6 linked regions of the Mus musculus genome follow. The protein of the gene in region 6 purifies or fractionates together with the protein of the main gene of each other region. This does not show direct contact. Links are inferred from orthologs where the notes say so. Each region holds a gene or a part of one and is shown on either strand. Other genes may lie near its edges.

The links.
Region 1: the proteins of Ubxn7 (region 6) and Cul4b purify together in Homo sapiens (affinity purification with mass spectrometry; 3 studies listed by BioGRID and IntAct, with this or other methods). This does not show direct contact. The link is inferred for Mus musculus from reciprocal best matches to the Homo sapiens genes UBXN7 and CUL4B.
Region 2: the proteins of Ubxn7 (region 6) and Cul2 purify together in Homo sapiens (affinity purification with mass spectrometry; 6 studies listed by BioGRID and IntAct, with this or other methods). This does not show direct contact. The link is inferred for Mus musculus from reciprocal best matches to the Homo sapiens genes UBXN7 and CUL2.
Region 3: the proteins of Ubxn7 (region 6) and Klhdc3 purify together in Homo sapiens (affinity purification with mass spectrometry; 3 studies listed by BioGRID and IntAct, with this or other methods). This does not show direct contact. The link is inferred for Mus musculus from reciprocal best matches to the Homo sapiens genes UBXN7 and KLHDC3.
Region 4: the proteins of Ubxn7 (region 6) and Ufd1 purify together in Homo sapiens (affinity purification with mass spectrometry; 3 studies listed by BioGRID and IntAct, with this or other methods). This does not show direct contact. The link is inferred for Mus musculus from reciprocal best matches to the Homo sapiens genes UBXN7 and UFD1.
Region 5: the proteins of Ubxn7 (region 6) and Topors purify together in Homo sapiens (affinity purification with mass spectrometry; 4 studies listed by BioGRID and IntAct, with this or other methods). This does not show direct contact. The link is inferred for Mus musculus from reciprocal best matches to the Homo sapiens genes UBXN7 and TOPORS.

The regions. Positions count from the first base shown.
Region 1 is NC_000086.7:38,573,048-38,578,063, forward strand, and holds the start of Cul4b (cullin-4B), read right to left. Parts: upstream 3,150-5,016; 5' UTR 3,092-3,149; exon of another isoform or gene 3,033-3,091; intron 1-3,032.
Region 2 is NC_000084.6:3,423,994-3,428,474, reverse strand, and holds part of Cul2 (cullin-2), read right to left. Parts: intron 4,026-4,481; coding exon 3,918-4,025; intron 2,964-3,917; coding exon 2,904-2,963; intron 2,381-2,903; coding exon 2,252-2,380; intron 2,159-2,251; coding exon 2,072-2,158; intron 1,718-2,071; coding exon 1,565-1,717; intron 1,313-1,564; coding exon 1,235-1,312; intron 1-1,234.
Region 3 is NC_000083.6:46,677,544-46,682,722, forward strand, and holds the start of Klhdc3 (kelch domain-containing protein 3), read right to left. Parts: upstream 3,388-5,179; 5' UTR 3,159-3,387; intron 3,039-3,158; exon of another isoform or gene 2,799-3,038; intron 1,666-2,798; exon of another isoform or gene 1,652-1,665; 5' UTR 1,499-1,651; exon of another isoform or gene 1,258-1,498; intron 951-1,257; 5' UTR 892-950; coding exon 738-891; intron 566-737; coding exon 389-565; intron 258-388; coding exon 142-257; intron 1-141. Other genes in the region: Mea1 (male-enhanced antigen 1), read left to right, coding at 3,479-3,590, 4,074-4,354, 4,466-4,568, 5,176-5,179. UniProt on the Homo sapiens protein: Substrate-recognition component of a Cul2-RING (CRL2) E3 ubiquitin-protein ligase complex of the DesCEND (destruction via C-end degrons) pathway, which recognizes a C-degron located at the extreme C terminus of target proteins, leading to their ubiquitination and degradation.
Region 4 is NC_000082.6:18,810,576-18,815,850, reverse strand, and holds the start of Ufd1 (ubiquitin recognition factor in ER-associated degradation protein 1), read right to left. Parts: upstream 3,558-5,275; 5' UTR 3,437-3,557; coding exon 3,434-3,436; intron 1,022-3,433; coding exon 889-1,021; intron 523-888; coding exon 490-522; intron 1-489. Other genes in the region: Cdc45 (cell division control protein 45 homolog), read left to right, coding at 4,286-4,336, 4,487-4,546. UniProt on the Homo sapiens protein: Essential component of the ubiquitin-dependent proteolytic pathway which degrades ubiquitin fusion proteins.
Region 5 is NC_000070.6:40,266,615-40,271,547, reverse strand, and holds the start of Topors (E3 ubiquitin-protein ligase Topors), read left to right. Parts: upstream 1-1,706; 5' UTR 1,707-1,828; coding exon of another isoform or gene 1,829-1,871; coding exon 1,872-1,874; exon of another isoform or gene 1,875-1,969; intron 1,970-3,046; coding exon 3,047-3,244; intron 3,245-4,933. Other genes in the region: Ndufb6 (NADH dehydrogenase [ubiquinone] 1 beta subcomplex subunit 6), read left to right, coding at 701-769; Smim27 (small integral membrane protein 27), read right to left, coding at 1,406-1,510, 1,829-1,873. UniProt on the Homo sapiens protein: Functions as an E3 ubiquitin-protein ligase and as an E3 SUMO1-protein ligase. Probable tumor suppressor involved in cell growth, cell proliferation and apoptosis that regulates p53/TP53 stability through ubiquitin-dependent degradation.
Region 6 is NC_000082.6:32,380,294-32,384,774, reverse strand, and holds part of Ubxn7 (UBX domain-containing protein 7), read right to left. Parts: exon of another isoform or gene 4,107-4,481; intron 3,514-4,106; coding exon 3,120-3,513; intron 3,010-3,119; coding exon 2,930-3,009; intron 2-2,929; coding exon 1-1. UniProt on the Homo sapiens protein: Ubiquitin-binding adapter that links a subset of NEDD8-associated cullin ring ligases (CRLs) to the segregase VCP/p97, to regulate turnover of their ubiquitination substrates.

The sequences.
Region 1 (5,016 bases), on a different chromosome or scaffold from region 6:
CCCTGTGATAGAATGAGGAACAAGAGGATAGGAGGGAGATGAAGAAAGGAAGGAGAGGATGTAGTGAGAGGGTGTGGGACTACTGAGAAGGCAAGGGAAGGAAGAGAGAGTAAGGAACAGGAAACATGGGAGAGAGGGAAGAGCGAGACTAAGGAAAAGGAGAAGGAGAAAGAAAAAGGAAGACTGGGAGAAAGGAGAGGGGAGGTCGGTGAGGGAGGATGATGAGAGGGAGGGAGAGGGGATGAAAAGAGAAGAGGGAGGGAGGGTGAAGAACAATGGTGAGAAGAGTGTGAGGGAAGGAGAAGGAAAAGGAGGATGGGGACTAAGAGGAGGGAGATAGGGAAGGAGGAGGACTAAGAGGAGGGAGGAGGTAGATTGAGGGAGGAGGATAAGGAGAAAAAGGGGATTAAGGAGGAGAGTAGGGAGAAAGGGGATTAAGGAAGTGGGGAGAGGGAGGAGGGAGACTAAGGAGGAGTATAAAGGAAGAGGGAGACTGAAGGCAGGAGAGAATTAAGGAGGAAGGTAAGGGAGGAGTGTACTGAGGAAAATTAAGGAGGGTGAGGGAGAAGGAAATATTGAGGGAGGAGGGTAGGGATTAGGGGTATTAAGAAGGGTGAGAAAGTCCCAATACAAATAAAACCCTAGGTATCCAATTATCCTTGGTAGCTCCTTCCTTACAGCAAAAGGATGTGCCTAGTCTTGTTAAGTAAACCCTCCACTATCTGTTCTTCCAGGTTTTATACTCAGATCTGAAGTTTAGGAACTAAGAACAGAAGATGTGAAAACATGGAACATTTTTCTTTCTGGAAATGGGTTCCCTCATTTAATATAAGCTTTTCTTTATTCATCAATATCCCCAGAAATATGGCTTACTAACAAAGAGTGTTAATGTATTGAACATTTGAAACTAGGCTTGTGATTTTGTAGCTGTTGACATATTATAGGACCCATTTCTTTTTTTTTAACTAGAAATATTTTTGGTTTAATATTAATTAATACAAATTGTAAGATATATAACCATCACACAATTAATAGCATTTCTATATACAAATGACAAGTTGTCTGAAAAGAAAAATTTAAATATCAATAATAAAGGTATATAAATAACATATCTTTAATTTACTTATTTATAAATAATAAAAAATAAACAAAATATTTAGGAATAAACATAAACAGGAAAGTGAACGCTTTGTATTCTGAAAACTTCATAATATTACTGAAATAAAGTGAAGGCCCAAGTAGGTGGAAATTATATGTTCATGGATAAGAATTAATATTAGGGCTGGTGAGATGGCTCAGTGGGTAAGAGCACCCGACTGTTCTTCCAAAGGTCCTGAGTTCAAATCCCAGCAACCACATGGTGACTCACAACCATCCGTAACGAGATCTGACTCCCTCTTCTGGTGCATCTGAAGACAGCTACAGTGTACTTACATATAATAAATAAATCTAAAAAAAAGAATTAATATTAATAAAATGTTTAGTTCAGTTTTTAAAAAAAGGGTTAGAAGCCAGGCGTGGTGGCGCATGCCTTTAATCCCAGCACTTGGGAGGCAGAGGCAGGCGGATTTCTGAGTTCGAGGCCAGCCTGGTCTACAATGTGAGTTCCAGGACAGCCAGGGCTACACAGAGAAACCCTGTCTCGAACCCTCCCCCCCCCCAAAAAAAAAAAGAAAGGAAAGGGTGAGAAAAGAGGGAGATTTAGGGAGGAAGGAGGGGAATTGAGGGAGGAGTATGAGGAAAGGAGATGGGAAGGAGGGTAAGGGAGGGGGTGGACTGGGAGGATAAAGACAGGAGGGGTTGAGGGAAGCGGTGGATTGGAGAAGGGCAGGAAGGAAAGTAAAGGATTACCATGAGGGAGCTCGAAGATTGGGGGCTAGGCAGAGAGGATAATGGGCAGTGGAAGAGGGTGGCGATGAAGGAGGGGCAAGAAGAAAGTTGGGAAGAGGGAAAAGGAGGAGGGTGATTGCAGGGGAGGGGCAAAGGGAGGGAGTAAGAAGGTGGGAGTGAAAGTTGGCAGTGGGGATGAAGGGAGGGCAGGGAGGAGGGTATGGGGATGAGAATGAGGGGGTGGAGGACTAAGGGAGGGTAGGGAGAAGGGCGATGAGAGGAGGATTGAAGGAGGGGACTGGAAGGAACAGGAAGGGATATGGAGGGGAAGGGAGAGGAAGAAGAGAGGGGAGGAGGGAGGGAGGGGGAGGGGAAAGAGCAGCAGTGTGACAAGGGAGCAGACAGGAAGGAGGGGCTGGGACAGGGATGGGCAATGGGTAAAGAGCAGAGATGGGGGAGGAGAAGGAAGTTTAGGTCAGGAGAGGTGCAGGTATCCAGGTGAGAGGTAAAGAGGTCAAAAGAAGAAGTGAGGGAGGGAAAGGGTTGAGGTGGAGGGGTGGGGAGGATGAGGGCACAGGGAATGGTGGGAAAAAGAAGGGGGGGAGGCCATGGAAATGGGGGCGGGTCAAGAATAAATGGAGGGCAGAGGTCCCAGTGTGTTCTTCCCTGTTGTGACAGGGTCACGTACTGACGTGGAACCCACTTATTAGGCTAGACAACCAGCTGGCTAGGAAGCTCCAGGGATCCTCCTGTCTCACCTTCTCAGAGGAAGAGAGTTTAGTGAACAAGAATCCAAAGTCAGATTCTCCCATTTGGGTTTATGGAAACTGAAACCGAAATCAAAACAAAAGTACTTTCCTGAATGGCGGCCTTTTCCCAGTCCTACAAGCTTCCATAAGATTCTTTTGACTATACCGACACATAGCTGTACTTGAGGGTATTTCTGTGTTAACCAATTCTAACAAGTTCTGCCTTAACTTCTTCACATCACCGATAAGACTATGGCTTCTAGCATCCCCCCTCCCCTTTAAACAGTTGATGACATTTAGTACCAAGTGAGACTAAAGAGTTACCTCCAAGTTATGACCCACTTACAAGGCCCTAAATCTGACCCACCTTTCTTAAGGGGCCCGAAATCTGACCCACCTTTCTAATTTCTAAAGAATACATTTTTCTGTCTTTCGAGAGGTCTTTTAACTTACAGTCACTGGAGGATCAACAAAGATTTTGTTCTAACATTCATCCGTTGGGGCTCTCATACCTCATGAATCAGAGACCTTCTGGAAGACGTCTGTCGTCGACTGCGCCCGGACCAGACTGATAACACCCTAGTCTATTCTAGCCCCACCCACCAACTGTAACGCCTTTCAGATAATTGACAGCAGATCTGACCAGTCCTACAGCAGCACATTGCTGAACAACAAAGGGCTTCGGTGATGTCTTAGCCAATCAAAACGAAGCTGGTCACCTTGTGACTGTTTGAGGCTTTATCCCAGCATTCACCGGGAAGTTGATGCCCGAGGCGGTATACGAGGCTGTCTGTCGCCAAAGGCTGTTGAGTTCGAGGCCAGAGTATATACTACATCAGCTACATATACTCCTTGTCTCAAAAACCAAACCAAACCAAACCAAACCAGCAAACGTAAAAACTCTCATCTCAGCACAATGTGATAATTGGATATATTTCCCAAAATCTCTCCAACAGGAATATCTCCAAGATACTAAGAGGTCACTGTTCTGTAATTTCACAAAGTTCCTAAACTGACAGATGAGATGAGGGGTGGCCTCTGTTACCATTGGAAGAGTAATAAAAGTTTTCACTCCCTACTAGGTCTCTATTGACACAACACTAGGCTAGAGGAGACTAGAATCAGACTCCTTACAGAGAGTCTCCAAAGAGCGCTAAAATGGAGGAAGACATAGTTGGAAGTCTCAGACTTCCACAAACAGGAGTCTAGGGCCCTCCAGCTCATCTACTAGTGGAGCATGTAAAATATTTCCATATATATTTTTTAAAGTGAGAGGAGAAAGTCACGAGATTCTGTTTATCGCATGTCTAACTTGTAGCTCACATCTAACTTATTGAGACTGTTTTGTCAAGTGTCAGGACCCCTAATTTGACTAAGCTTAAGAAACAAAAACCCAGGACAGCCAGGACTACACAGAGAAACCCTGTCTCGAAAAACCAAAAAAAAAAAAAAGAAAAAAAAAGAAAAAAGAAAAGAAAAGAAAAGAAAAGAAAAAGAAAAAGAAACAAAAGAAGTCGATTGGTTTCTATATCCAGACAGGGCAAACCTCAATCCCAGCTAGAGCCAGGAACTCAACTATTATCTTGTTTCTCAGCCTCTCTCTTTATCTCTCATCTAAGCTTCTCTCTATATAGCTTTATTCTCTAGTAGTCCTTTATGGTAGATACAACTGGGTTTCTAGTGGCCTTTAGGTCTTAAATTCACAGATCAGAAGCTGAAGAAAAAACCTGGTGCTATTATGCATGCCAGAATGTGTGAAGCTGACAGGAGGAGCTGCAGTTCAAGGTCAGCCTTGGCTACACAGGGGGACTTACACAGCACCTCCTTTCAAAACAAACAAAAGAAATTCAAACACAAGAGAAAAGGACTTCTCTGTTCTGATTTAGAAAAATGCAAAGTTTTATCTCTAGTCTGGGTCTCTATCCCTTGATGTTGCTACTAAGTTTAACAGCATTCTGTTTGTTGTTTGGTTTGGTTTTTGGTTTTTAGAGACTACAAGGCAAGTCCAGGACAGCCAGAACTACACAGAGAAACGCTGTCTTGAAAAATTAAATCAATCAATCAATCAATCAAACAAACAAACAAACAAACAAACAAATCCTTTCTGTTGCCACTGTACCGAGAGCATTGTTTGGTTTACTTTAAAATTGAAACTGGAGTTATGGCTTAATATTAGGACAATTACTTGCTGTTCTCAAGGCTATGACCTGATACCTATGCCTCCCAATACAAATTGTAACAGAAGAGTGAAATACAAAAACCACACCTAAACCATAAGGAAAAAGCTCCCCATAGTGGTTCATGCTGATTATTCTAGTATTTGGAGGATGACACTTCTGATTGATTGCCTTTGACTTGCAGCTAGACTACATCGTGAAATCCAGTTTAGAAAACAGATTAATAAACATAAATAAATGGAAATTGGGAAGACTGGAAC
Region 2 (4,481 bases), on a different chromosome or scaffold from region 6:
TTGCAAATGACATTTTGGATCACAGAACCCATAAGAAATGGCTTATAGATTGCTCACAACTCCAGTTCCAGGGGATCCCACAACCTCATCTGACTTCTGAGTTCCTGAGTTCAATTCCTAGCAACCATATGGTGGCTCATAACCATCTATAATGAGATCTGGTGCCCTCTTCTGGCCTGCAAGTATACAGGCAGGCAGAATGTTGTATACATAATAAATAAATGTTGAAAAAACTTCCTTAAAATTTATTTTTATCAAAGCTTAGGAATTAAAAAAAATTCCTTGGCTGGACTGGATGTATAAAAGACATTAGTCCTAATTACATTTGTGTTGGGGTAGAACCCAAAGTTTCTTCGTGAGTGACAGACTTAGTTTTACTTTAAAAAATGTATTTATGTATTTGCCCATTTATGTGCATATGCAGACTCTCAGACAACCTCAGACAGGTCAGTCTTTAGTCTTCTAGGATTTCTGTCCCACTTTAGAATCACTTCAAAATGCAGCTTTCACATATTATGCTTTCATATCTCAGTCTATACCTAACACTTGTCTCAATTACAGGAAAATTAAAATATTACCAGAACTAAATGAAGCCTAAAAATGGCTTCAAAGTTCAAATGGGAAAGTAGAAAGATTTGAAGCTTTCTCTTTTTTTCTAAAATAATACACATTTATTTACTTAACTATGTATTTGGAATGGTGGTATGTTGTTCATGCTAGGGCCACACATGAGCGTGAAAGGACGACTCATGGGAGCTGACTCTCTCCATCAATCTCGAGGGGTGTGAAGATTGAATCCAGTTTGTCAGGCTTCACCAAGCAAGTGCCATTACCCAACTGAGCCATCCATTGCCATTATCCCTAAACTTACATAAAATACCACATCCTATGAACTACAGGTGCTTACTAAGAGCTGATGAGGTTCCTGTGTATTACAAATAAACCCCAAACTGAAACACACACATCACACACACACACACACACACACACACACACACACACACACACACCACACACACACACACACATCACACACACACATCACACACACACACAAAGCATCACTACACACACACACACATCACACACACACACAAAGCATCACTACACACACACACACTACACACACACAGAGCATCACTACACACACACACACATACTACACACACACAATCACACACACAGAGCATCACTACCATGCCTTTGTTTACTGTTTGCTTCCCAGAACACTTACCATCTGTACACTTTTCTCTAGCTCTTGGGGAATTGCAAATGTAGATGAAGGAGCCTGAGTGAGAGGCCACGCACCAGCCTAAAAAGGAACAGTGAGATAAAACGTTCAACAGATATCTACCCCAAAAAACCCATTTCAATGGTGAGCTGCTGAGACACCTTTTCTCTTTCTTGGAATTCTGACAGTGCTATGGCCCATTTTATTCCAAGTCTGTAAAATGTGGTCCACAGCTCAAAAGCTGACTAGACGTTATCAGGCATCATTTGCTAACCTTCTATATTACATTGTCAAAATGATTCATAAATCTAAAAAAGAAAAATACTATCATACCTGAAGAACATATATTTGGAAACTAATCCCCAAGTCAATCACGGTGTCTTGGTTTCTGATGAAATTGTTGAACTTATTGTTCAAATCAGCGCTGACACTCATGTCTGTATACATTCGATGCAGCTTGCTGGTAAACTCATAACCACAGGCTTGCTGGAAAACAAGTTGCAAAGAATATAACCTAAACTGAGAATGACCAGCCAGGGATCAATTAGGAGACCAGAGGGTTTTATTTTATTTTAGTTGTAGTTTTTGTTTTTTTTTTTTTGTTATCAATACTGAACTTAAAGATCATCTTAAATCACTGGAAACCTCTGCCCCTTTGAATCTCATACTGACACCCAACACTGTACACAAATACACTCATGCCTGACCACTTACACAGCCTGCTGTATGTATACACATCAATGACTGCTGAAGTATACAGTCATTACATATAATGAGCATACTTGGCTGTTGGTACAAGATTTCTATGATATTATCTATCACACTAAAGATTTATGGTACCTTTAATTTATTGATCATGGCTTCTTCAGAATCCATAGACATAGACAACCCGTGAATTAGACGTTTTGCTAGCATTCTTGCATAGAACTGCAGGAAAATGGGAATGGTTACTTTTGTTGTGACTTGAAATTCAAAACAGAGTGAAGCTGGTAACTCTGATCTGAATGCTGTTCAGCTCACCTTCTGAAAGACGTCCTTGTCATCAATGTACTTGAAAACTGTGATGAAGCTAGTGAGCTTGTCCTCCACTTCATTTTCAGTCATCCCCTTCGCTGACTTCTTTAGCAAGTTGTCACAGTACTTAGCAAGCTCAAAGAGAAAGTAATAATACATCTTACAAAGGCCCTTTGGACAGACACTTCAAAGGCGGCAACACAAAGCCTCATAGGTTTGTCACTTAGAACAGATGTAAGAGCATAAACATGAAAACAAGCCGGTAAACGGTTACCATCGATGGGACAAAAGCAAAGCAAAAGTGGCTCAACAGATGTTGAAAGCTGTTACATCCTAAAGTTATACTTTAATATTATGAATGTAAAACATGCGTGATCAGCTAAGTTTTAAAAACATAAGACACTAGAACTAAGAAAAAAACCTAATCAGATAATGAATAGTATGCATGCCTTTTTAACAGGATTATCATCTTTATGAAATATTTTCTCCTTTGGTTAAAAAAAGGAACATTGTTTAATGCATTCTGAACGTAAATTTAAATATATATATAATGCGGACAATTTTCATATTCTGAAAATGAGTACACAAATTAATTTGCCATTCTAGTAACTTCCCTTTACAACTTCACATGAGATTACCTTCAAGCAACTAAACTTACCAGTTCAGGCGCTTTGCAAACAGACTTGGGTTCTCTGTAATTTACAACAGATGTAAGGGCCTAAACGAGAAAACAGCCCAGTGATTAGTTACCAGAAGGAGGCAAAAGTGGTGGCTGTGGATCTGATCTATGTCTATAATACCCACAGTTTAGCTATCTCTCTTTCTATCTCTGTATGTAATGTATAGGTGTTCACATAAAGAAGTATAAACATAAATGAAGGCAAGGTCTACCTTAGCTATTGTTCTTCAAAATCTTCAGAGTCTGTCATGAGACTTAGGGTGTAAGCTAGCTGGACAGCAAGCCCCATGATCCCAGCCTTCTCCAGCACTAGATTACACTATCACACCATTGTTTTGACATGGGTACTGGAGGTTGAGCTATCCCCAGCAACTCTCAAGGCCATGTGTTAAAAGGGATATTGGCGGCCCAGGGATGTGGGGCTTCTTTTCCTTCTTTCTGTGCTACTTTCTGTCACCATTAGGTGAACATCTTCATGTACTATGAGAAGCCCAAAGCAACATAATTAGTTAGGCAGAAACTTGTGAAACCCTGAGTTAAAAGAATTCCTTCTGCTTAGCTCTGTTCTGTTAAATTAGCAGGAAGATGACTATCTCACAAATCAAGAGTCAATTTCTTATGTCAAATATCAATTCAAATTCATGGTGTCTTTCAAACCAAGAATGAATACAGTCTAAATGTGGTATAGGTTAAACAGAAATATAGTCCTGCCACTGCCGGGGCTCTAACAAAGGACCAGAACTAAAGAAAATTAGAATTATGCACACCAGGTCACTAATAACTCAGAAAGACTGACATAAGACACTATAAGTTCATTTTACCACTTTAAAATTTAAGATTCCCAAATTTAAACTAGTTATTTAATGTACATTTCAGTGCTCAAGGTTCTCAAACTTGACTGCCTAGCAAAGATGCCCAACTGAAAACCACATCACAGGTTAAAGAAAATCCCATGTACAGATCACATGCATGGGTTATTTGTTTTAAAGTTACCTTATCTAAAGCACTCATAAAATGCTGATCACCATTCAAAACAGTGTTGATAAGTTGAACGAATTTACCATGTACTTCCAAAACTGATTCCACAAATAGTGTTGGCATCTAAAAACAAAATACAAAGTATAAATTCACATTTTAAGATTTTCAAGAACAAAACTTGAATAAAGAATATAGTTTATTTTTTTTATACTTATATACTCAAATTATACTTATACTCCTCCATATCCCCAACTCCATATCTCTGGTTACATTGGTCTTAAAAGTTTAAGACTTCTCTTTATCTATCAAATGGGACTGCCATTCAACAACAGCCTGACAGGTCCTCTGCCATGTAAAGGCACACATACTACTATGCTGGGTCACAGGGGGATCCCTAAATCCCAGGCCCAACTACACTAGGATGAATTCTGAGAAGGACGAGAAAGCCTGTGTGTGCCTCAGAATGAGGTCCTGGAGTTAGTTGGGTAGAATTAAGTTTTTGTTCAATGTCACTCAATACTTGGAATCTGCAAACCTAGCAATAAACTATGAACATGCCTAGTAACAACAGCAACAAAT
Region 3 (5,179 bases), on a different chromosome or scaffold from region 6:
AAACCCTCATCCTGCCACTTAAATGGTGTCAATGGTTACTCTGTGACCTATTCTTCCACTTAAAAGTCTCTTGTTCCACCATGCTAAATTTCTCTCTCTTTTCTTCCTTTTGTTATAAAACAAGTTTTTTTCCAGACTTACCAGCTGTTCATATCCCCCAAAAATGTACATGATCTTGCCCAGGACACAAGCTGAATGTCCGTCCCGTGCCCCAGGAACTGCCCCTGACACTCGGGGTGTAGACCACTTGTGAGTATCTTTTGAGAGAGGTAAGAGAACGACACAGGTCAGCTGACACACCGGCCTCAATTCTGGCCTTCTATTCTCCAGCACTCTCCCCAACCCCCCCTTTCCCAGGTCCAAGGTGTCATTTGAGACCCATACTCACTGACATCAAAGGCGTAGAGTACGTTGCAGGCCCCTTCAGTGTCATTGCGCCCACCCCAAAGGAAGACGGTGTCATCAATGAGGACGGTTGAGTGCCCATAGCGCATGTAGGGAACGACAGGAGCCTGCCCTCGGACGGCAGGCCTCACTGGGGGCAGCTTTGTCCAACGCAAGGACACTGTGGATACAGCTCTCCTCAGCCCTGGGAACCTCCTTTCAAGCTGCCACCTTGTCCCAAACCAACCATTCTTACCCAACCCCCTTGCCGCAGAGACCACCACTGCACTTCATTCAGGTGCCCACTACCTCCCATGGTGTAGGGACTCCAGAAAGATACGGGACTGGCTTACCAGCATTGAAAATGTGCACATCTATCTGCCGTAGTGTTTCGTAGTCTTCCCCAGAGCAGTAACCCCCGAAGGAATATACTCGGTGCCCGACAGCCACTGCAGCATGGTTCACCCTGCGTGGCCCGCCCTCCAGATGCACTGTCCACCGTAACATCCCCTGGGCCACAGGTTACAGGAACATGCCCCCCCGGCACGGCCTGCTGCCTCTGCTACCTGTACACAAATCGGTGCCACGGGTTCCTCAGATGAGCTTCACGGTGGCTGCCCAGAACCAGTCTTTGCCTCTAAGTGCCACCCCAGTGGCCCTCCTACACCACCCCTCTACAGGGACACTGATCACAGCTCAGGTGGCTGGCCCTGCCCCAAGAGAGCCGCAGAGGTCAAGGAGCTTGCCCTGGCCCTGTGTTCTCCCACAGTGAAGGGTGGGGCCACCTTAACCTGACTGCCAGCTCAGAATCTGGTGATCATGACTGCCCCCCCCCCCCCCCCCCCGCATCTGTCAACTCCACCCTGCCCCCGGCTTGGAACAAGCTCCAAGCCCCCAGCCTCCCAGCCCTTTTCCATACTGGGTGTGTTCTTGCTTCTGGCTCTGTTTACTGCCACCTCTCTAAGAATTTCCCTCCATCTCTTAAAGGTAGGGATCTCAAAATACTCACAGCTATTAATAGCCCAGCCAGCCCCAGACAGTCCACTGAGAGCTGGCATGGGTGCTTTAAAGTAAAAAGGAGCTTTAGGCTTTCAGAGGAGAACAGTGTCCCTACCTAGGACAGGGAACTCCATGTAACCATGGTTGATTAGCCCCTCACAGAGCGTTCTTGTCAAGCTGATCCGTTGTCCCTGGGGTCACCCAGGGTGTCTACAGGCACGAGGAGTTCCTTTGACAGCTGTGGCTCGTATGCTGCCAGGACTAGAAACTTAAACCAGAAAGGTATGTGTATACTGAGAGTCGGGGGCAGGGAGGAGCGCCCTCAACTTTCTCAGCCGGACTATTGTTAGCGAACACGCCACTTCCAGCAGCCCTGCCCCTGTCTGGGTCTCTAGAGGAGAGATGGGGTAGGAGTGTAGATTGGAAAGAGGAAAGAAAGCAAAAATACCTTTGGGCAGGACAAGAGAAAGCCCCAAAGATGAGAGGGGCCACGGCTTTGTAAAGACAGCCGGCCAGCCTAGTGATAACAGGTATATCTGAGAGCTCTTTCAGGCAAATCTTTTTGCAACTAGCGATGCCTTTGCCAGGAGACATCTGCTGGGTTTGGGTGATCATTCACTTCCTGTTCAAAAATCCTTGGCAGGGAGGAAAAACCTCGGGGGTGGGGTGGGTGCACCTCAAGCAAAGGAGGTTCCCTTCAAGGGGACAGACGCAGCTTTCATGAATCAACTGCCCCCACAACCTTTCACTGTATACTTTAAGTAGCCATCTCTCTCAATGTGAAACAGCAGCAGCCAAAAGTTAAACTGTTCCTTCATTACTCAGGCTCTTCAATTTTTGCTTATCAGAGAAAGAGGACTGAAAGCTTAAGAATCCAAGTCCAAGGCACTCGTGCTGGGGCATGGAGGCAGGGGGATGTCTGTGTAATTAAGGTCAGCCACCTGGGTCTACACAGTAAGTCCCAAATTAGCCAGAGCTACAAGAACCTGTCTCAAAAAAAAAAAACAAACAAAAAATAGAGAAAGAAAGGAAAGAACGTGGTGGTGGAGAGCCTATCAACCTCCTTCATATCTTTTACTCTCCTTTGAAAGTAAGTCCAGATAAAACGAAAATGCACAAAGATAAGACTACAATCCCAGTGGCAGACGGAGGAAGACTCCATCTTCCTAAGGAGAACTCGGAGGCAGGAGGTTATACGTTATCTCTGGGTCTCCAGCATTTCCCACCAATAGGCCATTTTCAACATCCCAGCCCCTGAGGTCGGCTTCCCCTCCCTGCTCGCGCCCCTTCCCTTCTTAATTTCCCGAGAGCCTTGCAGTTCCTCCTCCCACCACTTCAAGGTCCACACCAGAGCCCTCTAACTCGTCTAAGTTCACGAAGGGAAGCAAGCCATTCTTATCCCCTGCCAACCATACCGCTCTGTGAATGAGACTGGTCTCCGGTTGTAGTCCACCTTTCTCAGCCGCCCCTCCCCCACGACGCCACACTGCCCCCTCCCCCTGCCATTATGCTCAGCTTCCTGATTCTCTTCGGAACCCACTCGTCCACTTCTCTCAGCGCTTCCTCCAGCCACCAGGTCTCTCCCACCCGTCTCCAGGCCATTTTCCCCTAACCCTTTCGCGGACCATTAACACTCCTCTTTCCCAGCATCCCCCTAGCTCCCTCCCCACCCCCAGCTCAGCCTTCTCAGCCCCTCCCGCGCGGCCCCAGCCGTAGGCAATGGGCGTCGCCTGTCCCTTCAATTTTCCTCATCCCCCCAACCCATCCCAGGCTACCTGCCAGGCCGGGCCGGGGTGGGGCCGCGGGTCCTCGCGCTGCCAGCAGCCTAGAACCCGTTGCCCGCCAACCGATTCCTCGGTCCCCAACGAGATAAACACTGCCAGACTTCGTCCTTCCGGCGGGCAGCGGGACGCGCACGTGCAGTGAGAATTGCCGGCCCGACAGCTTCAGGGACTTGTAGTCCACGAATTACCCCAGGGCCGAAAGATGGGGAGCGGGTGGGCGGGGCCGGTTTGTGCGCATGCGCAGAACACCAGTTCACGTCGCACGCCTGAGGGTCACTGGGTAATGTAGTTCTTTGTGGTCCGGGCAGGGGATGGCGGAGGCGGGGCAAGAGGCGGACTTGTCCTCGCTTGCGTCAGTCTCGGGCACGGGGCGGGGCTGGAGGACTAAGAGCCCCAGCATGTCCTGCCCCGCCGGAAGTGAAGGTGCGGGTCCGGCTGTGGGCTCTGAGAGGGTGAGGCGCGAGGAAATACCAACGCCGAGAATCAGTGGGGCGGGTAGGGGACTCTGTAGCTGGGGCCATTGAAGGGGAGACCCTGGGCCTGAAGGGGTTTTTGCCAGGCGGTACTACACTCCCCCGGAATAGAGGGAATGAGGGGCGGGGACGCGCTATGGTGGGTAGCCTGGCGACCAGCAGTTACCTCCAGAGGAGGGGCGTGGTGAGAGGGGCGAGGTTCTGGGAAGAGGCTTTTAGGAAGAGGTGAAACCCTCCGGTGGTCGGTTCATTTAGGAATCGGGCGAGTTAAAGACGTGTGTGCTCCAGCTCAATATGAGAACCCAAACTTGAGACAGGGAGGCAGGAGAGACGGGAGGAAGATGCAAGTTCCATGCGAGAGGGAAGTGGGTGGCTGAACGTGAAAGGAGACCTGGTTTCATCCCATCCCTATCCCGCCTTTCTGTCCCTGCAGCCCCTGCCCGGATGGCAGCAGTAGTTCTAGGGGGAGACACCATGGGCCCTGAGCGTATCTTCCCCAATCAGACTGAGGACTTAGGGCCACATCAGGGTCCTACAGAAGGAACTGGGGATTGGAGCAGTGAAGAACCCGAGGAAGAGCAGGAGGAAACAGGAGCAGGCCCAGCAGGCTACTCGTACCAGCCCCTCAATCAAGACCCTGAACAAGAAGAGGTGGAATTGGCACCAGTGGGTGAAGGAGAAGATGGAGCTGCTGACATCCAAGATCGGATCCAGGTATGGTGGAGGATGCTGTTACTAAGCAGATGAGATGGAATGTACCAACAGCTGTTTATCATAATGGCAGGGGGAGGGGCGCCTAACAAATTATCTTCTCTGGTTCTGCAGGCCCTGGGGCTTCATCTGCCAGACCCTCCATTGGAGAGTGAGGATGAAGATGAGGAGGGAGCCGCCGCATTGAGCAGCCACAGCTCTATCCCCATGGACCCAGGTACAAAAACAACCAAAGCTCATTCCTTCATTTAGAAATAATTACCAAAAACTAGTAAGAACTGGGCATGGTGGTGCACACCTTTAATCCCAGCGCTCATGAGGCAGAGGCAGGCTGGTGGTCTCCTGGTCTACAGAGCAAATTCCAGGAGAGTCAGGGCTGCACAGAGAAAAACCGAATACAATGCCCCCCATTCTCCCCCTCACCCCCAAACAAGATCACTTTATTCCTAAAAATTTCGTTACCTGAGATTTTGTGGACTTCAGAATCTAAGTGAAATGCTGTCTCACTAGACTTGGGAATGGGCAGACCTGGCAATAATGAGGGCGTGATGATGTGTTGGGGGTCTTGGGCTGACTGAGGCACTAGGGAGAGAGGAGCTGGTCCCGTTCTTTTTTTTTTTTTTTTTTTTTTTTTTGGGTTTTCGAGACAGGGTTTCTCTGTATAGCCCTGGCTGTCCTGGAGCTCACTTTGTAGACCAGGCTGGCCTCGAACTCAGAAATCCGCCTGCCTCTGCCTCCCGAGTGCTGGGATTAAAGGCGTGCGCCACCACGCCCGGCTGCTGGTCCCGTTCTTTATTCCCTAACCAGTCTGGCTGTGCTTTCAGAACA
Region 4 (5,275 bases), about 14 Mb from region 6:
TGGCACAGGAAGAGAAAGTGGCAGTTCAACCTCTGGCTTCCTCAGGATACAATGCCACACTGGAAGTGAAAAACTCAGGTTTGGGAGATCTGGGTCATGCAGTTCTCTTGGAGATCAAGCTTTTTTTCCCCTTTAGGAAGACAACCTAGTGAGCCCACACCACAGTATGAACTACTCAAGCACTATACAAAGTGCTGTTCCTTTGTATCTAGACAAGTTCTTGAGACAAGCCAGGCACTGGGGAAGGGGCTGAGGTGAGAAGAAAGAGAAAAGAGTACCCTTTACTGAGTGGGTGCTTATAGCACCCTTGCAGTGGGAAGCAGAGCCATGCTTTGCCTCATCTAAGGTACTTGCCCCTGGTCCTTCTAGGCCAGCACACCCTCCAAAGAGGATTCTAACCACATCCTGACAAATGTTACACAGACTCTGAGGACAATGAAAAGCCCATGCCCATTTCTGGCTTCCCGTACTTATATAGAAAGTACTTACTGAGTTGATCGAGGGCTGAGGGTGGCATAATTACTGTGAAAAGAATATTTCAGGAATATTAAGTAAATAAAAACAAAAGGGTAGACCAAAGGCAAGATGTATACTTTCTGATGCATCTTTTAAAAGCTTTAAACAGTGGTTTGGGGCTAGCCAGAATTTCATAACGACTTTTCATAAAGAATCTTACTTGAAGTAATTTATTTTTGTGCTCTGAATGGCATTTAGTCAACAAACATAATTAGCACCCTACTCCCACCACCCATGCCTTAGGACAGTGACATTTTTACTATAATGTTAGTGTCTGGTGCCCACATGCAAACTAAGGGCTATAGAAGGCTACAGGGCTCATAGAGTTTAGGGCAGGAAAGGTTACTATTCAAAATAAAAACAGGCACATACTCTTCCCTCCTTTCTCCACATCTGACCTGTCATTAGGCCCTGCTAGCATGGACACGGAGAAGCAGCGGTACTGCGTGGAGAAGCGGTTCTGGAAGACCCGGGGAATCGGGTGGTCAAACATGTTGAAAGAAAACTAGGAGAAAGAAAGAAAGAAATGGTATTATTATTAAAACAAAGAAACAAAGGCACTGTAAAAAAAAAAGAGGCTGGTCATCAAGTCCTGAATCCCGGTGACCTTGACTTAGCCTCCCACATAACAAATGTACACAAATGTGCACTGTATCTACCTCAAAGGTATGTTTCTTTAGGCCAAGCACTAACATAGCAAGTCATCAGTGCGTATAAATGTGGTCAAAGAACACAGCAAACTAAAATCTCAACTAACCAGAATGTTCTTTTGACCACCTCGGCGGCACGGTGAACCTCAAATCCTTCTTGTGCCTCCCAAACTCATCCCTCAGGTCCAGTTTCTATTATCTATAGACAGTGCAACTTTACTAAATATAAAACCAGGCCTTCCCCTCCTATTCTTCTGCTACTATTCCCTATTCTCAAGATGGATCAAGGCTGGGCCTTACATACACTTCACAGAGACTCATTACTGACCATCCACCATCTCCTAACCTAACGTTTCTGTCTCTGGACTTGTAACTCCACCTGGAGCCCTTTCCCCACCATCCTTAACTTAGAAGCCACCTCTTTTCCTGAGTGCCTACCATTTGTGTGGCTCCAATCTGGACTTTAGGGGATATCACTTTAGTAATGTTTGGGTACTGCAGGCAGATATCACCTCTGCCCTGGGGAACTTGATATGAAAGACAAGGAAGATAACAATAAAATACCTATGTCTAGGAGTTTTAAAGACAAGAAACAGGTATCGGGACAGAGAGCACCCGAGAATGGATGTTAACCAAGTGTTCAGGAGGAGACCCTCATTAAAGACCTACATGTCTGAGTGTCAACTGGGCAAGAAACCCAAAAGAGCATTGCAGGTGGTGAAAAGCAGATGCCCATGTATGTATTCCTCCACCTGGCTTTCAGTAACAATGCTTTTTCTTCTTCAGCAAGCCTCCCTTGCTTTGGCAGGGGTCAGAGTTAGTGCTTCTCCTGGTGCTCACAGCACAGAACAGACCTGCACACTGCATATCAAGTATTTTCTCATACCAGCCAGCAAAGTCAAGACACGAAGAACTACATCCAAGACAGTCTGCTGACCTTCACATGCACATACGGGCTCACATACCCACCCGAAGGCTTCTATTCTCAAGCCCACGTGCACACCAACATCCCCCACCAATAAACTGTTCTTCAGTTACTAGTACACAAGTTTTCAGTCTTTTTTTTTTTTTTTTTTGGTTTATTCGAGACAGGGTTTCTCTGTATCGTCCTGGCTGTCCTGGAACTCACTTTGTAGACCAGGCTGGCCTTGAACTCAGAAATCTGCCTGCCTCTGCTTCCCTAGTGCTGGGATTAAAGGCGTGCTTCAGTCTTTTATCTTTTTCTTTAAGTACCAGAACTGTGTGACTCAGTCTTAGGTGCATAACCCACAAAGCCCTTTTTTGAGCCATGGGGTTGGGGGGTGGGGGGTGTGTGCTCGTCAAAGCATCTTCACCTATGCCATCCATCTAACCTACTGCTTCTCTCTGGAACATAAACAACGTACATGAAGTATGCAACACCCGAACGGTATCCTTCCAACTCAGCCACCAATGAACATGAGCTTCTATCATCCATGTTACTTCCTTTAAAGCTTTTATGCCTAACACATCAAACACTCAGTGCTGGTTATGTAAATGAACTTAGACAGGGACTTACTGTGACACTCAGGATAAAAATCTAATAATCACTTCTTGTTTTTAACAAACAAACAAATGGCACGGAGTCAACACTATATACAGGAGTGATGAGACATCACTGCAGCCGGATGGACTTGACTTCCAACCTCTGAGCCTCACTTTCCTGAGTACCACCTCTCTAAGTTTTAGTTCTACCGGTAAATATAATAACTACGTACCTATGTTCCATGGGGAATGCAGGAATTAAATAAGTATACGTTGATAGAAAAAAGGCGCACTACATATTACCTATTGTCGTTATCACAACGTGATGAACACAACGTGACATACAGCCTAAGACATGATTTCTACTAAATAAAAGGTCAGGGAACTTTGGCTGAGCTTAATGTCCTTCGTTTTCTCCTCCCTCGCGCCACTCCCCCAAGAAATCTCCAGTTAACTCCGAGTTCATGGAAACTTGTTGCGTGTCGAGCACTTATGAGAACTATCGACATAAAGTAGCAGGTTCCTTTTTACTCTCGGGGCTGCTGTCCCGCCGAAAGGCATTCGAGTCATGACTCGGACAAGCTAAGAAGAAAAGAGGTGGCTCGTAATTATGGGTCCCACTTGGGACAGAAGCTCTCGGGACAGTGTCGGGGCCCGACGCAGGCCCGGGTGACTCGGCACCTCCGCCACCAGGTCCAGGCCCTCCCTGCCAGCTCCAGGGGCAACTCTGGCATCATCCGGTTCGCGATCCCCGGTCAACTCACCATGACTGACAGCGTTTGGTGATGCCGCTTCTTTTCCTGAACCTTACAATAAAAACCCACAGCTCCCTCTTTGCAGTCCAGGCCACTGCTCTGAAACCCAGAAACCGCGAGAGGCTCGCCGGAAGTGACGGAACACCGCAGGGGATGGGGTACGGAGGCCTGAAGTCAGCGGCGGAAAAACAGAAAGTCATGGGAAGGCCTGAGGTTTGAATATTACTTAAAGTAAACATTAAAACACTTGATAATTGATTTCACAGGATAGCGACTGTTTATAATGTTTAGATAGTACTCTCTTCCAAACAACTTGATAGGAGCCGTTCTCCTTACGGACTACAATACCCAGAATGCAGCTAGAGTTTCCGGCGTTGATCCCGGCCATCATGGATTCGGGCGGAAGTAATCTATAGCTCACTCTAATTCGACGAACCGTGTATTGGAAACTTATTGGAAACACATTCAAATAATGTGTGACTGAATTTACTTTATGTCTAAGAGTATATTGTTTTCTAAGTATGCCAGGGTCAGATAATAGACCTTCCTTCCCGAAGTAAAGATGTCTGCCAAACATAGGTGGTTTTGGGTGACTGGACGTTAGCGTCAACACCGGCAACAAGGTTCGCAGCCTGAGGAAAGATGTTTCATTTTTTGAGGGACGGGCGGGTCTTATCCAGCTGCGAATAGCAGAGCATTATTGGCTGTCCCCAGTAGGAACCAATCAGAAAGGAGGAAAGGCTAAGAATTATTGGCTGCTGGCGTGGACCAATCAGAAGAGCTGTGATTTGGCGGGAGTCTTGACGACCTCCGGGGCTGTCCGTGTCTCAGCGCCAGTTCTAGGTATCCGCCGCTGTGGCTATGTTCGTGACCGATTTCCGCAAGGAGTTCTACGAGACGGTCCACAACCAGGTGACTCCCATTCCACGATCCTGATCCAAACCTTATCTGGGGGCTGGGGAGAAGAGGGCGAGTGTCCGTGGATGGGCCGGGAGGTCAGAGAGTTGCCACAGAGTTTAGCGTCCCTGTGTTCAACTCATCTGTCCACGTTTGCTTCTACAGAGGGTCCTTCTCTTTGTGGCCTCGGACGTGGATGCCTTGTGTGCTTGCAAGATCCTCCAGGTGAGCTTTGAATACCTTAGGAAGGTAGGACAGGAGGGAGAGGTGACAGATCAGGGTTGGCCCCAGCAGGGGGTAGGTCACAGAAGGGGAGGGACCAGAAGGAGCAGGCAGGAGGTGAGGAACCCAAAATATCCTCTCTGACCTATACTGGAGCTAGAGAGAAGTATAGTGCAAACAGTGAGACAAGTACGTAGTGTTTTATACAGTAACCCAAGTGAAAATGGTTTCACTTCTGAAATCTTTGAATTTGTAAATGACCTCTCAAAGATGGAATTTGAGAGAGGAGATGTGACAGTGGGGAGTGGTATAATAGGGAGTGCAGGAAATACAGGAGCCCCGAGTCTATTAGAGAAGATTGTTAGTTTGGGCTCTGACCATAGTGTGGTTTGTTTTTTTGTTTTTGTTTTTTCAAGACAGGGTTTCTCTGTGTAGCCCTGGCTGTCCTGGAACTCACTTTATAGACCAGGCTGGCCTCGAACTCAAATCCATCTCCCTCTGCCTTCCGAGTGCTGGGATTAAAGGCGTGCGTGCGCCACCACACCCGGCTCATAGTGTGGTTTTTACAATGTGCTGGGGTTAGGAATTTTTCAGAACCCCTGTAATTAAAATTAGGGTATTTTTTTTCTCTTAATGTTTTACTTTGGCACACTGTACAGATTCAGATTGAATTCTTGCTCACAGCCTTGCCACGTAGCTTCTCCTATTGACCTTTTACCAAACAGCATATCA
Region 5 (4,933 bases), on a different chromosome or scaffold from region 6:
CCCAGTCTGTTTGTCCCAGCCCTTATTAAAATGAATAATAGAGCATAACTAGCTTTTTCATGCAGTGCCTGAACATGGACTAGCATAGAGTGACCATCTATGCACAGTATTTTTGAAACTTGGAGGTGGATGTTGAGACAATAGATTGAAGGAATAAAATACTAAATCTTGTAATCAGAAGGATGTCATTACCTTGATTGTGGAGATAGATAGTCTCACAAGTATATCCATGCTTCAGAACTACAGTCTACCGTCTAAATATGCACTTTAGTATGCCTTTTAATTTTTAAGTCCTCATGTAATAGTTTGATTAATCTTTTTTAGCTTCATTTACAAATCAGTACAAGTAAAAAATTAGCACCTAAATTGAAATGTTTTAGGTAAAATGCAAAATAATTTTAATGGCCTTTTTTGGGGATTCTTTTTGTTGTTTTTTTGTTTGTTTTAAGACAGGGTCGATCTATGTAGTCTTGTCTGCCCTGAAACTTGCTATGTAGACCAGCTAGCTTCAAACTAGAGATCTGCCTGCCTCTACCTCTAGAGCACTGGGATTAATTCACCATCAGACCTGGCTTAAATTTAACAAATGTAAAGAAAGTATCTTTATAGTCATTTATTGTGTTGAGCAAATGTTGGAATATTTACAATGAAATGTATATTTGGTGAAAAATCTCTATTAAACACTTCCTGTTTTCCCTAGGGTGATACAATTCTGGAGACTGGAGAAGTAATTCCACCAATGAGAGATTTTCCTGATCAACATCATTGAAGAGTCCTTAAAAACTTAACAGACTTGTGTAACAGCACAAGTATGTTCCTAAAGTGCTGTATTTACTGAATCTGTTTCCTGGAAAAGTAATTAATAAAGCTTATTCTCAGAGTGTTATCACTGTCCGTGTTACTGTCCAAAGGTTCTATGATTTGAGACTAACAGTAAAAAGACAAATACTAAACAGAGCTATTAGCTACTTTTTTCTGTCCATTTTGATAAACAGGATGCAAAACACATTTTAGTCACAGTGTTGTTTACATACTGATTTGACATGAGGATGTGAAGTGTTTGAGCACTAGAATGAAAAGCTATGACCTGATACAAAATAGAGCCGGGCGTGGGGGCGCACGCCTTTACTCCCAGCACTCGGGAGGCAGAGGCAGGCGGATTTCTGAGTTCAAGGTCAGCCTGGTCTACAAAGTGAGTTCCAGGACAGCCAGGGCTATACAGAGAAACCCTGTCTCGAAAAAAAAAAAAGGGGGGGGGGGGTGTTGTCCGATCATTTTGAAAAATTGGCATGTTAACGCTTATCACAAAAGGCCACACGCAAATTTGTATTGTGAATTTTACTTTGAGTCTACATAGGTGCCATCTGAAGAAAAGAAGTGTTTGCTAAGAATTACAAAAGTTCGTTCAGAAGAACTTGTCTGGAAACTCCTTCTGTAGTTGTCGTCGTGCAGCTACAGTCGATGCATAGATGACGAATCCCCAAGAGAGCAAGACGATTGCAAGGAGCAACTAAAAGGAGGGGAGGAAAAGCAAAAAGAAGAAATCAATGTGCCGGGTCCTTTCCCTGTGTAGCCCGAGCAAGCAGCTACAGGTGGAAAGGCATCACATGCCTCTAACACAGTGCAGCCCAGAGGCAAGCAGGCCTGCAACCCCTGACGTCAGAGGCGGAAAAGCGTGTCCTCCAGGAAGAGGCGGAGCCGAGGGCAGGGCGTGAACGCTCAATTTAGGAATGGGTTCTGGAGTTCCAAGCTGCGAGCCAACAGTCTACCTTCGGCTCGCGGGCCCTGCCATGGTGCGCTCTGGAGCTCCGCTCTGCTCGGTACCTACCAGGGAGTAAGTCCAGTCCAGGCTTCGGCGACTCATCGGCCTCATGGTAAGGGAGCAGCGGGGACGGGGTGGCAAGGGCCCTACAGCCTGCTCGCGGGCGCATTGCACCCCGATGCAGCAGCCATTTTTCAGCGGGACTCTGCGCGCTCCCGCGGGCTTCCGCCCGGAGTTGGAACACATCACGTGATCCGGGCCTAGCCCGCCTTTCAGGCAGCAGAGGGAATAAAAGAGAAAATGTGAAGATCGCGCCTTTTTTGCGCTCACATAGGAATTCCTTAACTGCTTTATCCTGCATTTGCAGTGCGGTATTAATACAAGATAGTGTGCCATCGTGTGCATATAAAAGTTTATTGGAAAATAGTCCACGGTGGAAGAATCAAAGTTGCCGTCCCACACCCACATCGGTTTCCACCAAATGCGGATAGACCTTCATATGTTTATGCTTGACTTAAACATCTTTTACGTAACAAAAACATCGTTGGGAACTGTTAGTTGAGCCGTTCACCAAGAACAAACAGAATATTATCGCTGATGGCTGGAAATCTTTTCAAATATGTTGTACAGGTAGCCCGCATGGTGGATCTGCCGGCCAACAAGTGTTGACGGGCAGTTTGTCGAATGCTTGGGACTGCAGCAAGTTTGAAATACTAAGTCCCGAGAAAGGCAGCTTGGCAGGCCAACTATCAGGATGCTGGTGGTGTGCAGAGTGGAAGCCTGGCCGGCAGAGGCTGGGCCGCTCGGCTTTGGGCGCAGATGTGTCAGATACATTTTTAGTGTAGATTTCCGAGAGTGGAAAGAGGGAAGCGGGCCGCAGGGAGTTATGGCGGGGTAAAAGAAATGCCTGATGGTCAACCCAGCTGAAATAGACGGAAGGACCAGGGTGCTCTGGGAGCTCAGTCCAGTTCCCGTGGCACCATAGAGAATCCTAACAACTTGTTGAAGTTTGTGAGGTTCCACTGATACTGAGGCAGCCTTTCTGCATATTTGGTTGTGATTGTGGAGTTTGTGCTGTGCCCCCCCGCGGTGGGGGCAGGGCAGGGTCCGGGGTCTGTGCCGTAACGTCCCGCCTCCTGCGTGCGGCAGCGGTTTGGCGCATGCGCCCAGAGCTCGGGGGAAGGGGGTGGAGGAGCGGTGTTTTGCTGCGCGGGCTCGGGGGGTTGGTCTCGCCTTCTCTCCGCCTCCAAACTGCCTGTGGGTGATGAACGTTCTACGTCATAGGGGTCGCAGCCGCCGCCACCGGGGTCTCCGCTGTCTCGCGAGGAGGGTGAAGCGCCCCCTCTGGTGCCTGCCGAGGAGGGGAGGCGCCGAAGCCGCCGGGTACGCCTTCGCGGATCCTGCCGCCACCGGCCGAGCTTACTGAGCCGGCGGGAGCTGGCTTCCAACGGCCCAGCGGTTCCTGCCACCGCGTCCTCGGAGGTGAGTCGGCCGGGAACAATGGGTGAGGGGTTCCAGTAGGCCCTGGAGCAGCCCTGTGGTCTGGGCCTTCTTCCACCCGGAGCTCCCAAGGGCTGGGGTCGCCACGCTGCAGGGCACCTGTGGATCGGCACCGGTGGGCAAGCGAGGGGAGTGTCTCCCTGCACTGCCTGAAGGGCTGGAGCGCAACTGAATACGGGATAGAGCTGTGTGTCGGCGCAAAACAGTTGCCACTGTTAGGAAGTGTGACCTTGGTAGGTCCCCAGCCCTGGACCCTGTCTGTGAAATGGGATCAGCATTTCAGTTGGTCGTGTTTATGTAACATGCATGGTGTGGTTGTCTTTCCATCCGAGACAGTAGTTTTGGACTAAGGAAGCTGTTAAGGCTAGAGGAGTTGTGCAGTGCTACACATTGTGGGCAGGGCTTGTATGCCTTGTGACTTTATTACACATCTAGTTAGTGCCCTTTGCTCATGGGCTGCTGATTCTGATTGGTAGACTGGAGAGGGGCAGTTACGGGATTGAAGGCACGGAGATTAAGACCGGAACTGGGAAGCAGCAGTTCTACTGGGCACCGTCCTATGTTAAAGTGGAGAAAGAAGGAAAAAACGTATGTGTCTTAAGAGTTGAGCTAGTACAGGGTAGAGTGTTTCGTTTGAGAGGATTTGAGGGTTTGGAAATAGATGGAATGCAAAGTGCAGGGCTCTTCAGTCAGTCACACTCAATGCGTATCTAGAAGGAGAGGCTTTCACGGGGCTAGCTTCCAAGCAACCCTCACCCCTTTTATTTTGGGGCAGGGACTTTTGTAGCCAAGAGTGGTCTGGAGTTCCCTACTTTGCAAAGGATGACCTTGGTCTTCTCACCGTCTTGCCTTCATATTCCAGTCTTCTGGGAATGCAGGAATATTCCAGGGTGCCTGGTCCCAATTAAATTTTATTATTACCAGAATTGAAATTCAATCTGGACAGTGGTGGTGCATACCTTTAATCCCAGCAGAGGCAGAGGCAGGCAGAGCTCTGAGTTCAAGGCCAGCTTAGTGTACAGAGTGAGTTCCAGGACAGCCAGGGCTCCACAGAGAAACTCTGTCTAGCCTCACTAAAAAAAGAAGAAATTAAATTTGGTCATTTAGGACTTAACAAATTTTAAACTATTCAGATTTACAAGTAGAATGCAGATTGCTTTTTACCAGTCATTCTGTTTTATCTATTTGTGGATGTTGTTAGCTGCTTTGCTTAGATATGTTAAATATAATTGTTATCATCTTTGGAAACTGTCAGAGGTGTGGGTGATGATCACTACCAATATCAAACTTTTCCATAACTTAAGCAACTATGTTGAACTCTCATCATCAAACCCTGCACCAAGTGTTTGCTTATTCAAATTGTATCCCTTCACACAACTTTTTTTTCCCCCTTTTCAAAAGACTATTGGTATTCTGTCTTAGTTAAGGTTTTACTGCTGTGAAGAGACACCATGACCACGGCAACTCTTAATAAGGACAACATTTAATGGGAGCTGGCTTATAGGTTCAGAGGTTCAGTCCATTATCGTCTAGGCAGGCATGATGCAGGCAGAGCTGAGAGTTGTACATCTTCATCCAAAGGAAGCCAGAAGTAGACTGGTCCAGGTGGCTAGGAGGAGGTTATCATAGCCTACCCCGACAGTAACAAGTTTCCTCCAACAAGGGTGTAAC
Region 6 (4,481 bases):
CCTACAAAAAACAAGAGGAAGACAAAACTGTTAGCTGGAAATAAACTCCATGACGACTAGTTTATGAGTATTCTATTTTTATCATATTAAAGTAACTTAATTCAAATAATCAAAGCTTACAGAAAGCCAACATAACCCTTTGGATAGTAAGACAAATCTATATCCAATAACTTAGGATTACAATGTGATTGATACTGAAAAAGTCATTACTGTCTTCCTAATAAATAAACCCAGGCAACATTTATAAAATATAGCACCCAGTTTTTTCCTTCATCAGAAGAGTTATGTCCTTACATTCTGTCTACAATCAACTATGATCTCATAACTGTCTATTACAATTTCTTCAGCACTTCCTTCTCTATAAATGCTTTCTCGTCAGATAAGCAATCAGTCATCTTTCCTCTACCTACTGTCTTCTAGTTTTCCAACTAAACTTCTCAAAAGAATGGTCTACTTAGGAGTGACCCTTGTCCCTAGAAAATATGCACCATGATCACTGGTAGATATCTAATAATAGTATAGACCTCTATATATTGACAACAACTAATAATAAAATGCCATACAATATATTGTAATAAAATGTCAGCATTAATCCTCTTAAGCTTCGGGGCCATCACTAAAAGTTACTGAACAGCTTGCAAGAACATACACTCACATTGACTTATTTATGTATGTAATTACACTGTTGTTCTCTTCAGACAGACCAGACGAGGACGTCGGATCTCATTACAGATGGTTGTGAGCCACCATGTGGTTACTGGGATTTGAACTCAGGACCTGTAAGAGCCAGTGCTCTTAACCACTGAGCTAACTTAAATATATAAGTTTTAAAAGTTTCTTGAAGTTACTTTGACCAGAAAACCTGGCAGTAACTATAACCTTCATTAGATAAACTAAGATGGCTATTGTCTCTCGGGTATACCGTCTGGTTATCCTGGATAAAAGGAATGGTTCACATCCTAGGTGTTGGAATGTAACGGTAGGAGGTTTCATTGTACTATTTAGAATAGTATGTAATTTAAAAGTTACGAATTGTTCTGGAATATTCCATTTAACACTTCTATACCAAAGTTTGCTAGCAGAACTAGAAGATGGAGAAAGGCACTGTGGAGGTTTGAATATGCTTGGCCCAGGGGAATAGCACTATTTGGAGGTATGGCCTTGTTGGAGGAAGTATGCTACTGTGGACATGGGCTTTAAGCCCCTTGTCCTTAGCTGCTTGGAAGCCAGTCTTCAAATGAAGATGTAGAACTCTCAGCTCCTCCTGTACCTGCCTGGATACTGCCATGCTCCTGCCTTGATAATGGACTGAACCTATGAACCTGTAAGCCAGCCACAATTAAATGTTGTCCTTAAAAGAGTTTCCTTGGTCATGGTGTCTGTTCACAGCAGTAAAGCCCTAACTAAGATAGTTATATATCATATTTGTCCTTTGTCCCATTTCAAACAATGGTAGTTTAGTGTCTGGCACTAGCCAGAAACTATTACTTGTCAGTCTTCAACAATCAGCCTAAGTATCTTCTGTATGGTTCTATTTAAATGGCCTTTCCCCTAAGGTCTGAGCTTTTAGGGTGTAGGGCCAGGCTGACAGAAGTAGGTCACCAAAGGCAGGCCTCTGAAGTTCCTATCCAACCCTCTAGCTCTGGTCTAGTTCTCTGTTCCTGGCTCACAGCCACACAAACAAGTCTCTAGTTCCTATGACAAGACAAGGAGCCTCTGCCATGCTCTCACACTGCCATGCCTATCCTGCTCTGGAGGGCTGAAATGGAATCTCTTTGAAACCAAGAGCCAAAAAGAAACCCTTAAGTTGTTTATATCAGGTATTTTGTTATAGAAATGAAAAGAGTGACTGACTAATCCCAGGCATGGTACCAAGCCAGGTATAGGTACTGACCAAAGTGGGCTACGAGTGAGGACCATCCATAGGTTAAGCTATGCTAGTCAGACCAATTCTCCTCTTTTCTAGCAGTTAAAAAGAATCATTGCTCAACAATTTTTAAATAAATAGGCCCTTAAAACCACCATGATAGGTGATGTCATGTACAAATCAAGAAATAAATAAAACTCATAGGCAAACAATGAGAGGAATGGAATAAAGTCAAAAGCACAAGAAAAAAATCCTAACAGATTACAGAAGAGACACAGAACAACGACCTTGGCTCTTAACTATGTTTTAGTAACAGCAACTAAGAAATCCTAGATCCACCAGGTGTGATGGCACACAGCTTTAGTTCCAGCACACAGGAGACAGAAGCAGGAGAATCTCTGAGTTTCTACAAACTGAGTTCCAGGGCAGCCAAGGGTACAAAAGGAAACCCTGCCTCAAAAACAAAACACACGTGCGCGCGCACACACAAGGAAAAAGTTTGAAAACAACCCCCAGACCACCAGAAGTAAGTATATTCCACACAAACAAAAACTGAAAACTGAAAAGCTTTGGCTGGCCTGTGACTTGCCTAAAATAATTAGAAGGAAATAATTAAAAATGAGACAGGGCATGGTAGCTCATGATTTTAATTTCAGCACTTGGGAGGCTAAGCAGAAAGACTGCTTTAGTTTCAGGCTACATGGGCTATGAAGTGAGATCTCACCTCAAAATCTCCACACCCTTAATCAAGCTGAGGCAGGCAAATTGCTATGAATTACAGGTTAGCCAGCTTACATAGTAAGGCCCTGCTTCAAAACCTAAACAAAAAAAACAAGTAACAGACCACAACAAAACCCAAAAAAATTAGGACTCTTGTCAGATGAGTCTGCAGTTAGGTATCAGATAAACTCTCTGTGTCAGGAGTCAAGGCTCTGTTTTCTGGAGTAAGGATACAGTATAGCAGGGGGTTGCCTAACATGCATAGCTTATGGGTTTGACCCCTAGCAGCACAAACAATTAGATTCTTTGCTTTAAGCAAATGTTTCAATGGGATAAACTCACCAGTAATTTGGCTTGCTCTGGAAGAGTGATCTGTTCCCTTTTTCCATCTGGGTACCGCAGCATCAGCTGTGCTTTTGGTCCTAAAGAAGAGTTATACACATACACAGGTGTTTAATACGGGAGATTAATTAAGCAAGTCATTCAGTACGTTCGAGTTTAGTAGGTAAAGCAGGTCTATACCATAACCCACCATTTACATCTATCCCCTCCACTATTCCATCTGACTTTTCAGGTGACATCTCCAAGACCTCAGAATCCATGGATGGCAATCCTTGATGGTTTGTGGCTGTGCCAGGCTCAGTTCTGGCTGGGGGCTCTGTCAGTGGCCTTCTGTTCTCCTCTTTTCTATGCCCCAAATCTTTATGAGGAGACTTTCTGGACTTAGCAAGATTCTCTACCTCCTCTTCTTCATCAGAGCCACAAACCGATATGAATTCCTCACTGCCAGAAAAAAGTTCCGATTCAGATTCTTCATCTGAGCGGCTATCCTGTTTTGCCTGGGCCGAGTCGAAATGTGTCTCTTGCAAGGAGGCTCTGATGGCAGCTTCCAGTTGGCTGTCTTCACTAGCATCTATGAGGCTCTCCTGTAAGGTGCAGCCAAAACAAAAGTTGAAAGAATAGTTAAACAAAAACAAAACAAACAAATAAACAAAAAACCACTCAAACAGTGCATAAAAAAACAAACTAGCCAACTTGCCATTATGATTTTCTGCCAAAGTGGAATCTGTCTCTTATACCATGTGAGGGCAAGAACTTAGTACCAGAATGACAAACTGCAATGAGTATTTCAAAAGCAAAAATAAAGGACTATCATTAAGCTAGATACGGTGGCACATAATGCCAGCATTTATGAAGCAGAGGTGTGAAATTGCTTGAAGTTTTAGGCTAGCCTGTACTACACAGTGAGACCCTGTCTAAATCAAAAATAAACAACACAAAGCTCTCATATAAACTAGTACACTGGCATTTTAAGTTCAGGCATTTTTGGCATCAAAATGAACAAAGCCAAGAAAATAGCTTATTATTTTTTGCTTTAAAAAAAGTTTAAAGCCTGCCGGGCGTGGTGGCGCACGCCTTTAATCCCAGCACTTGGGAGGCAGAGGCAGGAGGATTTCTGAGTTTGAGGCCAGCCTGGTCTACAGAGTGAGTTACAGGACAGCCAGGGCTACACAAAGAAACCCTGTCTCGAGGAAAAAAAAAAAAAGTTTAAAGCCAAACTACAATTCTTTAAAATGATTAAACATCAAAAAAACATGTCTTCCTTGCTTTTCATTAAATGCAATGATTTGACATTCAAAACAAGAAAATAACATTACCAAAATATGGCATGATGGTGCATGCTATATCCCAGGATTTAACACTTCAGGAGAGGTTTGTAAGTTTGACTCCTAGTGTGCACTATACAGTGAGATCTTGTCTCAGAAAAAAAAAAGAATACATTTGGATGTTTGGGGCTAGACAATTAAATTCTCAAAAGCTTAATAATTATAATGAAAAACGTCATTATAATAACTAGAAATGCAAATTCTTTTACATTTATTTAAACTGTGCT